Linked DNA regions of Struthio camelus. Each later gene encodes a partner of the first gene's protein in a complex. Links are inferred from orthologs where the notes say so. Each region holds a gene or a part of one and is shown on either strand. Other genes may lie near its edges.

What was found.
Region 2: MYBBP1A (region 1) and DEK share a complex: the UniProt entries of both Homo sapiens proteins name them as parts of the B-WICH complex. The link is inferred for Struthio camelus from reciprocal best matches to the Homo sapiens genes MYBBP1A and DEK.

What each region holds. Positions count from the first base shown.
Region 1 is NC_090957.1:12,811,037-12,818,793, reverse strand, and holds the start of MYBBP1A (myb-binding protein 1A), read right to left. Parts: upstream 3,018-7,757; 5' UTR 3,005-3,017; coding exon 2,834-3,004; intron 2,759-2,833; coding exon 2,663-2,758; intron 2,425-2,662; coding exon 2,341-2,424; intron 1,953-2,340; coding exon 1,878-1,952; intron 1,181-1,877; coding exon 1,073-1,180; intron 1-1,072. Other genes in the region: EIF4H (eukaryotic translation initiation factor 4H), read left to right, coding at 6,592-6,650. UniProt on the Homo sapiens protein: May activate or repress transcription via interactions with sequence specific DNA-binding proteins. Repression may be mediated at least in part by histone deacetylase activity (HDAC activity).
Region 2 is NC_090943.1:97,667,272-97,674,844, reverse strand, and holds the start of DEK (protein DEK), read right to left. Parts: upstream 3,018-7,573; 5' UTR 2,487-3,017; intron 648-2,486; 5' UTR 637-647; coding exon 501-636; intron 1-500. UniProt on the Homo sapiens protein: Involved in chromatin organization.

The sequences.
Region 1 (7,757 bases):
GTAGATGAGAGAGCATGCAAGAAACATCTGACAGCGTTTTACTAGCTCGCTCTGCGGTACATTCATAAAATGCCCTACAGTGCAGATATTTTAAAAACCTGTGCTGTTTTGGAAATTTTAGAAATTCTTTTCAAGATGACGCAACCAAAAATTATTTAAATAGAGAATTAGTATCCAGTATTGCCATACGGGCCCCAGGTGTTTAACCATGCGGAGAAGGACAACTTGTTGTCATTAAATAGCAGTTCTGTCCACTGACTCCAGCTGCAATTGCTCTGTTGCAGTCTGACTGCTCCTGGCAGTACTGTCATGAAGCACGTGGGAGGACAAAACACCCTTCTATTAGCTTTCAATTGCATTACTTAAAAAAAGAGCTACCTATTTCAATGGGATTTACTGGTAAACAACTGCATTCAATGTTTTCGAGGAAACTGGACCTAATGTTTTCATCAATAACATAGAAAAAGTATAAAAATTGCTTTCATTTGTATTTATTAACAGATAAGACTCAAAATATATTAAAACTTAACATCAAGATTAGATGACCAGGAATATTTCCATATAAAGCATTACTTAATTGTGATTTAATGCTGTTAGTCTTCATGACTACCAATAATATCCATGCAAACCAAGAAAATAAACAAATACTTTCTCTTTTTACTACCTGTACAGACCTCCTGTACCCCCTGTTCGTACACCCCTTCCACTCCCAACCACCCAAAATTCAGCCTTGGGCGCAAGTAACGAATTAGAAACTGGGTGCCCAAACGAGCAGCTTTCTTGTCCAGAGTTTTCAGCACATTTGTCTCCAAGAGAGCAGAGGGTCTAATGCGCCACCCAAACAAGTCAACTGGGAAAACTAAGAATAACGGTTTGTCCATGATGAAAGCAGACTCAGCTAAACTAGAGCATCTTTTGCAGAATAAAGGCATCTGCCCACAGATAAATACAGAAAATAGCTGCTGCACTCTTCCATAACCCCTCCTCTTACTTTCAACTATGAACAAACCAATGAAAAAGCAGTCCCCTAAACAAAGTCCTACTTCCCACCCAACACACACTGTGTCTATACCTCAGAAAGGATGTCAACAAGAGTTTTTCCAGGGAGATCTCTGAGGTGTGCTTGGTGATGTGCCAACTGTTGGAGAAGCTGGATGCTCTCCAGCAGAGCTTTCTGGTCCTGGGAAATCAAAAAATAGAGAATATATATCTAAGGGTAAGCTGAAGGCTCAGGTAATAATACACTCTGAGACCCACATGTCTACTTACAATAAGAAGCCTACACTATCACTTCTTGATATACAACTCAGTTCTTCCCAATACGGTGTTTTCTGACCGCATGTGACAAAAGATCCCTCCCTTCCAGGCGAGGTAGGGACTATCTGACACAGTTCTTACATTTCTGGTAATCAGTTAATCCATCCACCTAGTCTCCCCAAGCTTTTCTATTTTCTAGAAAACAGATTTTCTATTATTTCACCCATGCAAGTTTTCTTAACCATCCTTTTCCTTCTTTTCTTCCCATCTTTGACTTCCAGCTGATAATACCACAGTTTTCTACTAAGAAGCTTGAGTTGTTGGTGACCAACTGTTAACTTCTGGATTCATATGACCCCTTTTACATGAGCATCAAAGCATCTCACAACTGATTCTTGCCACACTCTTCCAAGTAACACCCCTGCTATGAATCAGGAACAGACATTTAAAAGGCACAAAAAGCCTATGGAAAAGGCAAAAAGAAGTGAACTGGACTTGATGCTCCAAAGTCCCATCTCATGCAGTAGCCAATGGGCCAGCCTTTCTCTCTAGATCCTCTCTGCATTTCAAGACAACTCCAGAACCATTACTGACAAATACCATAACCATACTAACGTTACCTTAACAAGCCGGCCTGATTGAAACAGAGCCATAACTCCAAAAAAGTTTCCAAAAGCAGCATTTCTCACAAGTTTCTGGAAAAAGGAAAAAAATTAAGAGTAGCAATCCCCCCCACTGCTGGGTTCGATCTCACATTCACCTACAGTTCCTACTACTAGGACAAACTGGCTGGAAGATCTGGTCTTGAATGTCCTTCCATATGAAGATAACACAACCAAGAACACCCCCCTGCGCGATGTTTAAGAACCAGTGTCTTAAGACAGTCAGGCAAATCTCAGCTAAGACAGGGCTAGATGACAGTGTCATCAACCTCCAGTTTTTACAAATATTTCAAGTCCTGTTACAGTCGTTTGTCTTAGGAAGAACTCCAAAAGCTACAGTATCCCGAGGTCAAACCTTCAAAGAGCAGAGAACAGTTAATCTAACCTAGTTGTTGGCCGATGCTGCTATGAGCCCACTCACCTTTTTCACTTTTCCCAGATTGTGTTTTTCTTTTATCTGTTCCAGCACACCGCACACCGGAATCTCCTCAAAAGCCTGCAAAACCTGGGGAGACGGGCGAGACAGCACAGTTTGCAGTCCTTACGTCCTGCGACGCTTTACGCGGTTCAGCCAAAGCCGAGCCGACCAGAACACGAGATGCGCTGCTTTACGAGGCCAGAATAGAGCGCACCCACATCAGGAAAACGCGTGTCACGGTAAGAACTGGTCAGACATAAAGACACTGTTTAAGAAGCCCTAACAGGACTTTCGGGCGCGCTCCCGAGCTCGCGGAAACACTGACCTGCGCCAGGGCCAGGCTGAAGCCCGGCCGCGCCGCCTCGCGGGTGGCCCCCAGTCCCTCCACCAGGCGCTTGAGGGTGTACTTCAGCTCGTCGTCCTGCAAGACAGAGCCAGGCTCGCCCTCCGCCTCTCCCAGCGGCGCCCCCGCTCCCGGCCCCGGCCCCGGCCTCACCTTCCTGCCGTCCCGCAGGTGCCGCAGGAGGCTCTCGGTGGCGGCCAGCCGCACCTCCTGCTCGGGCTTGGCGATGTCCCAGAAGAGGTCGAGGAAGGCGCGGCCCTGCCGCAGCACGCCGCGGGCGTCGGCGCCCGCCACGCCACCGCCGCGGGGCTCCCGCTCCGCCATGCCGCCGCCGCCGCCGCCGCCGCCGCGGGGCTCCCGCTCCGCCATGCCGCCGCCGCCGCCGCCGCGGGGCTCCCGCTCCGCCATGCCGCCGCCGCCGCGCACGTGGGGCCGTCGCCGCCGCTGCCGGCCCGCCCCTTCCGGGGCAGCGTCGCTGCGCCTGGCCGGGCCTGTTCACCGCGGCCTCCTCGGCTGCTCAGCACCACAGCCTTCCCTCAGCGCCGTCCTCCGTGCAGGACCACGCTCTCCTCAGCTCCATCCTCCCCTCAGCTCCACACTCTCCTCAGCGCCATCCTCCCCTCAGCTCCACGCTCTCCTCAGCTCCACACTCTCAGCTCCATCCTCCCCTCAGCTCCACACTCTCCTCAGCTCCATCCTCCCCTCAGCACCATCCTCCCTTCAGCACCATCCTCCCCTCAGCTCCACACTCTCCTCAGCGCCATCCTCCCCTCAGCGCCATCCTCCCCTCAGCTCCATCCTCCCCTCAGCTCCACACTCTCCTCAGCACCATCCTCCCTTCAGCACCATCCTCCCCTCAGCACCATCCTCCCCTCAGCACCATTCTCGCCTCAGCTCCACACTCTCCTCAGCTCCACCCTCCCCTCAGCTCCACACTCTCCTCAGCTCCATCCTCCCCTCAGCGCCATCCTCCCCTCAGCTCCACGCTCTCCTCAGCTCCATCCTCCCCTCAGCGCCATCCTCCCCTCAGCTCCACGCTCCCCTCAGCTCCACACTCCCCTCAGCTCCACACTCTCCTCAGCGCCATCCTCCCCTCAGCTCCACACTCTCTTCAGCTCCATCCTCCCCTCAGCACCATCCTCCCCTCAGCTCCACACTCTCCTCAGCTCCGTCCTCCCCTCAGCTCCACGCTCTCCTCAGAGCCATCCTCCCCTCAGCACCATCCTCCCCTCAGCTCCACGCTCTCCTCAGCGCCATCCTCCCCTCAGCTCCATGCTCCCCTCAGCGCCATCCTCCCCTCAGCTCCACGCTCCCCTCAGCTCCACGCTCTCCTCAGCTCCATCCTCCCCTCAGCTCCATCCTCCCCTCAGCTCCACGCTCTCCTCAGCTCCACGCTCTCCTCAGCTCCATCCTCCCCTCAGCTCCACGCTCTCCTCAGCTCCATCCTCCCCTCAGCTCCACGCTCTCCTCAGCTCCATCCTCCCCTCAGCTCCACACTCTCCTCAGCGCCATCCTCCCCTCAGCTCCACACTCTCCTCAGCGCCATCCTCCCCTCAGCGCCATCCTCCCCTCAGCTCCATGCTCCCCTCAGCTCCACGCTCTCCTCAGCTCCACGCTCTCCTCAGCTCCACGCTCTCCTCAGCTCCATCCTCCCCTCAGCTCCACACTCTCTTCAGCTCCATCCTCCCCTCAGCACCATCCTCCCCTCAGCTCCACACTCTCCTCAGCTCCGTCCTCCCCTCAGCTCCACGCTCTCCTCAGAGCCATCCTCCCCTCAGCACCATCCTCTCCTCAGCTCCATGCTCCCCTCAGCGCCATCCTCCCCTCAGCTCCACGCTCTCCTCAGCTCCACGCTCTCCTCAGCTCCATCCTCCCCTCAGCTCCACGCTCTCCTCAGCACCATCCTCCCCTCAGCTCCATGCTCCCCTCAGCGCCATCCTCCCCTCAGCTCCACGCTCTCCTCAGCTCCACGCTCTCCTCAGCTCCACGCTCTCCTCAGCTCCACGCTCTCCTCAGCTCCATCCTCCCCTCAGCTCCACGCTCTCCTCAGCGCCATCCTCCCCTCAGCTCCACGCTCTCCTCAGCTCCATCCTCCCCTCAGCTCCACACTCTCCTCAGCGCCATCCTCCCCTCAGCTCCACACTCTCCTCAGCGCCATCCTCCCCTCAGCTCCACACTCCCCTCAGCTCCACACTCTCCTCAGTGCCATCCTCCCCTCAGCTCCACACTCTCTTCAGCTCCATCCTCCCCTCAGCACCATCCTCCCCTCAGCTCCACACTCTCCTCAGCTCCGTCCTCCCCTCAGCTCCACGCTCTCCTCAGAGCCATCCTCCCCTCAGCACCATCCTCCTGGCAGGACAGGCACCCGCAGGCCTCCTTCACCCTGCCCCATCCAACACGCTCCCCCCACCCTGCTCCACCTGCCCTGCGTCCTGCCCTCCGTAGTAGCCGCTCGGCAGGACTGTTTCAGCCCCGTCCCTGTGGGGAAAAGCAGGGTTGTGCGGGGAAGAGGCTTAAAACCCCAGCGCTACTGTAAAATCGTCCCTCCTTCCTCTCGGGCCGCTGCACAGGACGAAGGCCGGTGGTGGCATCGGCACGTGTCTTGAGCTGAACCTCCACCGTCGATGTCCCCCCTCGCTCAGGCGGGACGAGCGGTGGCTCCCAGCCCCGGGGGCGCTGAGGCTGCACCCCCTGCGATGGGCTCCCATCATTTTTTAGAATTAGTCTTGTTTAAAAGAGAGCACCGAAAGAGCAACTGGTGGTGTCAAGGCGCAGATGACAGGAGCGGGACCTCGCTGTCGGCGCACAGGGCCACGCAGGCTGCAGTCCCGCCCGCGGTCCTGCGCTCTGGCTGCGTGTGCTGGGCCGCTTTAAAACACCGGCGGGCTGGATGCGGGCACTGAGCAAGCTGTTATCTTCGGCTCTTTCCAAGTGCGGTGGCCTAGCAGCGGGGCCGGGCACCTGCCCTATTGGCACAGTTGGTCACCACAGAAAAATCAGTACGTCTTATGGTTTTATTGTAAAACATGAAGTAACGGCCGAGGGGAAAAAAAAATCAGTTAATGCAAAGGATGTATTTTTATGGGCACTAAGAAACTTCTGGCTACGCCTGTTATCTTTCCTGCCCAACAAAAAAAAAAAAAGAAAAGAAAATGGAGCGATTCTCCAGACGCCACGCAGAAGCTGCGCAGAGCCGGCTACCAAGCCTGACGTTTGCTGCCTTCCCTTTCAAAATCTCCATCTCCGGCCAGCAGCGAGCGCCGGCAGAATAAACACAACGCTCGGAGCACGAAAACTGCTCTGTCTCTGATCGTATCGTAAGTGACAGCAAGTCCCTTTTGGGGACACAAAAGAGGCCGGTGACTGGAAGACTAAGAAAGTGAAGCTACGCTTTAGAGCCGCAGGTCCGGGCGCGCCTTGCACGGCAGCACACCCCGCTCCTCCGGCCTGCGTGGTGCAGCGCCGCAGCCCGGGCGGGCCCAGCGCAGGCCCCGAGGCCGCAGCCCCGGGGGCCGCTGACACCCCGGCCCGGGCCGCTCTCCCCGCGCCGGAGCCTCCCTTCCCGCCGAGCCACCCTCCGCGGCGGCTCAGCCCCGCGCCGCCGCCGCCGCCCGGCACAAGGGCGGCCGGGCCGGGCCGGGCTGCGCTGGCGCCGCCTGGGCCCTGTGACGCCGCCGCAGCGCGGCGGGGCCGGTAGCGGTAGCGGCGGCGGCGGCGGGGCGCGGCCCCCTGCGCGCCCGGGCGCGGAGACTTTCCGACAGGCAGCAGGGCGGGCAGCCCCGGCAGGGCGGGGAGCTGGAGACAGGCACCGCGACGGACAGCCCCGGCCCGCGCTCCGCCGTATATAAGCGGCGCGGGGTCCTGCGGGCCCGGTCCTGTCACGCTCGCACGGGGAGGAGGCTGAGGTGGCGATGGCGGATTTTGATCCTTACGACGATCGGGCCTACAGCAGCTTCGGCGGCGGCCGGGGGTGAGCGCGGCGCCGCGGGCAGCGCTGGGGCCCCGGCGGGCGGGGCGGCGCTGGGGGCCCCGCGAGGAGCCGGGGAGGAGGCGGGAGTGGCGCTCGGCTCCCCCCCAGCCGGGCGAGGAGGGGGCGCGGCCGGGCCGGGCCCAGCCTGCCCCTTCCCCTGGGGGAGATGGCGGGGGGGCGCCGCCGCCAGGAGCCGCCCGGGCCCGGCTTCCTCCCCGCCGCCTTCGCTTCCCCCCCCCTCCCCGGGGGGTGGGGTGAGCCCGGCGGGGCGCATTTCCCTGCGGCCTTGGAGGCCCCGCTTTGTGAGGCGAGGAGGCGGCTGCCGTGCCCCGGGAAGGGGTAGGGCCGTCTCCTCGCTCCGGCGGGCGAGTGCCGCAAGGTTTAGGGCCTGGCGGCTGGGGAGCGCCGGGAAGAGGCGGGAGGATGGGTGTCGCTGTGTTCCCGCCGGTCGAGAGGCGCACGGAGGGGGGATTTAGGGAGGTGCTGGGACGGAGCCAAGGTGGGCAGAGCCGTGAGGAGCCCCTGCAGGGACAGACCGGGAGAGGGGAGGAGGGAGCTTCCCGCGAAGGGCGGCAGGGTGGCCAGAGCCCCCGCTTCTGGTGGGCCGAGCTCCGCACGGCGAGGTGCCCGGCGGCGGGGGGAGCTGCTGCGGCCCCGGGCCGGCCGCATTGTGATGCCTGCGGCGGGGAGGAAATGGGAGGGTTCTGCGGTACCTCCGATCAGGGAGAGCTGTGAGCTGCGCTCCTGCCTTAGCCGGGGCCCCGGGTGTTGACTCCAAGGCTCTGGCCCTTTAAAGTGGGGTCTGGATCATCTCTCCTTCTTAGCTGGAGAGTGCACATGGTGGGGGGAGGGGGGGGATGAAGGGGTTGAGTCTGCAGAGAAACCCTTTGGGGTGGCCTGCTAGATGCACCTTTGGGAAAGTTTGGAACTGAGCTGTTAAGGGCTCCTCCCTGTGAACTCCTGTCACTTACAGGGTTTTTTTAAAGGCTACAGAAACAATAAGCAGCAATTACTAAATTTGCTTGAAGTCAGGTTAGGAAGATGCAAGTAGCAGTTGAGTTTATTTGGAGATTGCTGTACAAGTGTCTGTCTATACTTTCCCAAGTG
Region 2 (7,573 bases), on another chromosome or scaffold:
TTAAGTAGTGCAGCCCAGTAAAATAACTTACAGTAGTTAAGCAAATAAAGACATCTGTATTGCTTCCTAAACTACTTCACAGCTTTTTAAAATTTCTCTCTTCTGCAAACATGGATCATTTCAATGTGCTACTAGAAAAAAAAAAAGGATTCTTTTTGGATATGCATGTTTCTACAGCTAATTCAATATAAGACTCTGCCTCTTACAATTATCTACGAGTTTATCCAAAAAAAAAAAAAAAAAAACAACACACTCCAGTGCAGGAACCCAGGATGCTGGCAATTCCTTCAGTCTTTTCTGAGGAACATCAGCATTATGGTTTCTAGGGCTAAGTCTGTTCTGTTAAGAGTCTACTAGGAAGTGATTTATGATCCATGAGACAGCTGTCCTGTGGACTCTCCTAAACAACAATTGTACAATTTTTTGTGATCACAGAGACTGCACTCAATAAGCCTGGCATTTTTTTAAAATGATAAATCATTCTGAAGAAACAGAGGTACCTTTTTCTTCTTCCTCCTCCTCTTCCTCCTCTTCCTCCTCATCACTTTCCTCAGCTTTGTTCTCAGTTTCAGGTTCTTTCTCATCTGCTTTTTCAGATGACATTGTATCTTCTTTTGATGAAGCAACAGACGACATGGTGTCTGGTTCTATAAAAAGCAGTCAGTAAAACCATCAACAATACAATATAATATGTAAGCAGCACAGGAATTTTCCTTTTTAAAAAATCCCTTTGTATGGTAGAAGTCATGTCATAGTACTCCTGTTGTGATTGCTCACATTCTTTAAGCCACAGATGAGTATCCTGCATACACAAAATTTCTTCAACAGTTTTGTCATCCATTCTGCAACTAATCTGCTTGAGAACAATTTAAGAGGTTATCAGTTCTTTCCACACGCAATAGTCTTAAAGCTTGCTTTGTGAAGTATTCAGGAACACCCAACCCTAAAAGCAACTGATATTGTATCTATTAAGAACTGTAACGTATTAAAATATTACAATCTTAGTGCAGCACATTACAAACCGAAGTTATTTCTGATCACAGTTAACTGTACATGCAAGTTTCCTAATCAATTTAACAGACTATACATTTACACAGGAAATAGGAACTGAAAAAAAAAAAAAAAAAAGAGCAACTCATGGAAAAGTTAACACTGCTTTCTGAGTACAAATAGCTGCATGGCATCCTAGGGGTTGAAAACGCTTTTTAGTTTTAATCTGCAAGTCTACAAAAAAAAAACGCAAAACAAAACCACACTTCATACTTAGCAAATTTAAGAGGAGTCTTTTAATATTCGAAGTGGCTTAAAGGTTAGGTTAAACATCTCATTTAGGTGAGGGCCATTTCCCCTACTTTCCCTAATGACAGAGGGAATGCCTATCTAACAAAGGAAAATAAGCCTATCTATTTATATTAAGATGACTCCAGCTTTTAAAATCTTTCACTATTTACATGTCTGGAACAAAACACAGCATGGGTTGTATAAGCCAGGGGAAGGGAATGTGTGTGTGAAATCACATGATTAACCACCTTGTTCCAGCATTAAAACCAATACATGTTCAGGAGTTCAGACTCAATAAACAATAATCAAATCAACTGCACAGGAGCAAGATTAGCAGGTGTCAGAGAAGAGCAACACACCAAATGACAGAAAACATGAGCTACAATACCAATAGTAAGGGCAAAAAGAAAGTTTACTCTCCTTTGTTAAACGACTTGAAAAAAACCCTCTCCTTCGGGGAGGGGGGGTGCCGGTATGTCAGTTTGACACAGGAAGAGTAATTCAACTTCTTCACGATTCTGCTCTGTGAATTTTACCCTTTTACACGAGTGAAAAAGTAAGCAAAGTACTACAAACTGCCTTCCCCCCCTCTTTCAGTGGGGGCGGGGAAGGAAAACAGGAGAGTAAGAGACTTTTGCCTTTTCAGCATCCAGGTCACTGAAGGCCTGTTTGCTCAGGGAAAAAACGCACAGGGATCCACCCTTAAAGAGAGTCAAACCAGGGATACTTTCAGCCACACGAGAAGGAGAAATAAGGACAGGGTATCCCGCAAGGGGAGAAAGTGACTTGTGCACAGCCACACCTCCCACCCTCCCCGGGACTGTTCAGACATGGACTTGCCTCCACCCCTCGCCTTCCCGACCGGCGAGCCGAAGGCCGGGGAAAGCGATCTCCGTAGCTATTACCCGGAGGAGCTGACGCTCAAGGCTAACGGGGGCGGCTGCCCTCCCGCCTCCGGGCCGCGCAGCAGGGCCGGGCCGGGCCCTCAGAACTAACACCTCGGGGGTGAAACCCAGCCCGCCACCCCGAGGCGGACTGGGGAAGCAGGCGGCCCGGGTAGGTGACAAGCGCCCCCGGCCCGGGGCGGTCCCGTTTCTCGTCCACCCCCCTCCCCGCCTGCCGGGCCGCCCGCCCGGGCCGCGGCCCGCCGCGAGGGGCGGGAGCGCCCCCTCTGGCGCCGTTATCGCCACGGCGGCGGGACCCACCTCAGCTCAAGCCCCGGCTTCTGGCTCCTTCTTCGGGCGCGGCCGCGGCAGTAACGGCAGCCAGAGGCGACAGTTACCGGAGGAGGGAAGCGGCGGCGGCGGCGTTGGGGGGGGGGGGTTGGAGAAGGAGGGGCGGGGCGGGCGCTGGCTCGCGCCCTCGCACGCGGCACACAGCCCCGAGCGGGCGCGCGCGCTCCGCGTCCCGCGGCCACTCTCTTTCTCTCTCTCTCTTTCTCTCTCTCTCTCTCTCCCGGAATCAACAAGGTTTTCAAAATGGCGGGTTCTCGAAAGGGGAGAAGGAAGCGGGAAGGCGGCGGCCAATCAGCGCCCGCAGCCCCCGGCGGCGTGGGGGCGGGGGGGGGGCAGCGCGCGAGGGAAGGGTGCGCGCGCAGGGAACGGGGAGGGGTGTGCGCGCGCGCGCGCGCGGATGTGCGTGACCTGCGGCTGCCTGTGCGGGCCTCCGGGGTGACGTCAGAGAGAGCGCGCGCGCCCCGCCGCGCGCCTGCCCCGCCACGGGGCCATTGGCTCGGCGGCGGGGAGGGCGGGGCCTGTGGTGCAACCGCCACCTCCCGCCCCGCCCCGCCCCGCCCCGCCCCGCCCCGCCCCGCCCCGCCCCGCCGGGGTTGTGTCCGCAGGCGGTAGGGGGGCTGCCGCCCTGCCCCTGTCTTGTCCTTGTCCCTGTCCCTGTCCTCGCTCGCATGTGTACGCGAAGGCCTTGGCGGTCCCGCCCTGCTGTGGCGAGCTCGTTTGCCTGCGGCTCGCCGGGCGCCTGTGGGGCGCAGGGCAACGACGGCGGTGCTGGGGCGCGGGGCGGGCGGCCAACGGGAGAAAGCGGCCGTTGGTAGGCGGCTGGCTGCGGAGCAGAGGCCCGGGGGCAGAAGAAGGAGGTCTCCTCCTTGCCCGTTTAAAATTACGGGGTGGGCAGCCGGGCCGTGTGCCCTATGGTGCTGAGGGGCAGAGGGCTGGTCCCGCTCCCCGCACTGTGGCCTGCCAGAGCTGAGGACAGGCAGTTCAGACCAGAGAAGAGGCCTGACTGAGGTTAACGTGCCTTCAGCAGGAGTTAGCAGCGCTCAGAAAACATGCTGGAGAAAGAAGTAGCCTGAAGTAGTCAGTGCTGATGACTGTCTTGAGGCCACGTTGTACTGACAGGAGCTTTTTGTCTAGTAGGTGGGTGGCTGTTACCTTGGGGGTGGGACAGCAGTTAAGGGTAAGAAGTGAAAGGATTTAAAAAAAAACCCACATGATTCTGTTTTTTAACTGAACATTGACCTTTTAGATGTGCATACAACATAGCACTCAATGTAGAGTTGGCAGCAGAACTGGGAAATCTAATGTACTACGAAATAATAATAAGTACTACGAAATAATAGACTCTGGAATGGGGAAAATTTTCCATAAAAAAAGAAGGTCCAGGGAATGTATGTTAATTACCCCTACTTTAAGCAATGGAAGTGCAGATTCTTTTTTTGAAGTTAGCTGGTAAAATCACAGATGGCAGTGGTCTTAAAGAGGAAAATGTGAATTATTTACTACAATACATAATCAGAAAAGCTTGAAGTTAGTATACAATAAGGAGGCAGAAGTATCTCATCATTAAGCCATAGGCTACACAAATGGCACAAGACAGATGTTTGAAGACAACAGACTACTTTCTACAAGATGGATAGGTTTGGATTAGTTTGGAATTAAGACGGAAGACATCTGAAGGGTGTGCTTTAGGTTGTGGTGATAAATTAGACCCTATCTTGTAAACAAGGACATGTTTACTCAATGGAGATGATTTACCTAGTTAAACTAGCTATATTAATGTCCTACCAATATGACACTAGGGCTGCTTTTGGGGGAGAAGTAGAAGATAATGTTTTCATGGATTCCTTTAGAGAAGACATGTCATTGCAGTAGGGAGTACACCCTCAAACATCCAATTAATTCAATATTTTAGGAATTGATAAATTCTTAGTGCAGGTGAGCTATATATTGACTCAGGTTTCTTTTCGTGGAACTTCAGCAAGAATGACAACTAACCTTTCTTGATTCTGTTTTTGGAACCTTCTCTATCTGTTCTTAATGGTACTTTTTCAAATTTGTGGAACGGTTTCAATTAAAATTGTTAAAAATTTTGATAATCAGTTGTTCCATTTCCGAAACAAAACTGAGACAATATGGAGGCTTTTAGAAAAAATTCACAATGCTAGGGGTTGAGAGAAGGAGGGGGCAAATTCAGAATTAAAAAAAAATCAGATATGTATTAAAGGGAAATTACTGGATTCAAGAAAAGAGACTGAATCTGGTTTATCTTATCATTTCTACTATTACTAGGAATGCACATTAACAATACACTGTTTTGGGATCTTGCCCTGTATTGATGCTTCTGTCTTGCTGTCTTCTCTCTACACACCCTGATGCAGTTAACTTCATTTCTCAGCTTCAGCTGAGATTTGAAAGACCTAAATAAGATAATTAGATTATTGTAAAATGTTTGTATAATCTAAGGTGTTTACATCTTAGATTAGTCTAGTGAGTGGTACTAAATGCAACTTAAAATAAAAACGTTGATTCTGGAGGAAGGCTCAATTAGAAAGGGATGAATGGTTCAAAGAGGGCCTCGGAATTAATGCGGGAGCTGCTCACTGTAGCCTGCTCTTCTTATTCCACCAGGGAGAGTCTGCTCTTTTACTACCATAGACCCTATATTCAGACAGGATGCTCGCTTACTTATTTTTGATAGCTATCTCTATTTCGATGAAACAGTTATCTTGGAGGTACCCTAGGGTCGCTCTGAAATATCAAAGGGTGTGTTCTTAGGCGTTTTAACTCGACAGAATTAAATAGTGAAAAGTGCTCTGAAGGAGCTGTAAAAGACAGAAGCTGGCATGTTTCAGGATGCATTATATGCTGGTATTCTGTGCTACAGTGCACCAGCCAAAGCTACCTCAAACACGATCACCACCATCTGTTAATTAATGCAAACATATTTTCAGTCATTTCGGAGTTGTGGTTTAGCTAACACTGTGTGTTGGCTTTCGGCATGAAGCATACAGTGGTTTTTGAGAAGCCTTTAGGAATAGAATTGTAGGCTTCACAGAGTGTACAAAGTCCCCCAGGACTGCATTTATTTTGTTTTCAAACTGACTGATTACTGCAGGATCCTGCCACCAGTGCAGAGTCTAGCAGATCTGCTGTGAGTAAGATTATAGAAGATTGTCTGTAGATAGCAGAGAAAGTGGCCGGCATCAAAATAAGTACCTAGTAACTCATATTAGGAGTTTTATTCACAAAGTGAAAAGCCACAGCAACAAATTATGTGATGCTGCTTTTTAATAATATAGGTAATGTTGCTTTGTGCCCTCATGAGAGTCATGCATGTGTATGTATATATGTACACATATATACATACACTTTAGCTTCTCTGTCTATAAAACAGTAATGTGGTTGCATATTTCCTGGAAATGTCAAAATGGCTTGTCTGCGAAATGCTGAGAAAAGTCCTGTATAAATGCTAAGTACATCTTTATTAACATTAGAAGCATTATATGGCTTTTGAATCTAAATTTGATATAATCACTAGCAGAAAGCAGAAATCAAGAGATGAACTGATAATTGAGCTAATTAACACAACTTGCAGAACAGGAGAAAATTGAAAACTATTTGAGCACTGTGTAGTTAATTTATAGTATGATTAGTAACAATTATACTTAATGTCTCCAAATACTCACTGCATACTTGTACCAGATAATTTACATCTGTTTTGAATGACAAAGACAGTTGATTTGCAAAGTGTTTCCGAAGCGGGTACTGCTCAGTTCAGACAACATCCTTTGTCCCCCTTTTTGTTTCATATCTAGGTGTTTGTGGACTAGCAGACTGTTGCATCATCTGAACTCGTCATCTGTTTCTTGCCCTTAAGAAGCCCTTAAGAGTTAGTTGTTGTTGTAAATAGGAATTCTCACAAACATGAAATGAGTTGTTGATATGAATTGATGTGAGCAATTTCACCCAGTATTAGAAATCTTTTATGGGTCATATTTCAAGATAAGTATATGGAAAGATTCAGCTCAATTCTTACGTAATAAGAAACATCAGATATAGATAATGAGTCAAAATAGTACATGAAGGCACATCTTCCATGTATGTGTGAATGACAACACTGAACTTTGTCAAACTTGATCTGTGTTGGGATATCTGCTAACGTGCCAGCTACTATGAAGTTAAGTTGCATCACATTCTGCAGGGTTTGGAAATGACTGCTTTGTGTGTTTAAAAACATCTACGCTTGTATGTTGTACAGTCAAAGCTTAAGCAGCTGTTGCATTGTATATGAAGTATTCAGAGCTACCACCTCGGAACTCTGGACTGATGAAACTTAGCTCTCACAAGTAGTAGCACTGGAAACTCTTCTGCATTTCTCTACTGACATTTGAGCTTTGAAGAGGCAGGCACTAAAAGGGTTTTCATCTCAAGGCTCCACGTGCGGCTCTGTTCAAGAACATTTAGCAGGATGGTTTCCTTAGTGTAGCTACTACAAGGACAGAATTTGACCTAGGATGAATGCTCACACAGTTACTAGCCTCCTGGTACTTCTGACTTAGTTTTGCAATGAATAGTGCGTGTATGTGCCAGTTAACTATGTACATGTTATGTAACTTGCACTTAAGAAAAAGAAACACTGTCTATTCATCCACACTTTAAGGCTTGAGGCTATACATTTCTATTTCTCAGGTCTATAGGTTTTGTTACATGTTTACAGTTACACGTTTTAAAAAACATTTCCAAGGGTATTGTTACTTTGTGAGGAGACAATTTTGCACTTAGAGCTCTTCACTGAGTTATGCTAGAATGTGAAACTCGTGGGTTGCCAGCTGCTGAGCTGGGAGAAATAGATTGCAATGTAATGAGTGCAACCTGCGTTTAAGAAAAAAAACCAAAAAAGAAAAATCTGAAAAAACTTAGTAGCAGTCTGATAAGTTAAGGTGGTCTTAATAATAAAAATTTGTCGACACGAAGTGATGCAAACTGACAATTTTCCAGGAGACAAGAAGCTTTTCTTTTCAGAGTGCGATTTTTTTCCCCCTTCTCTTTCTCCACCC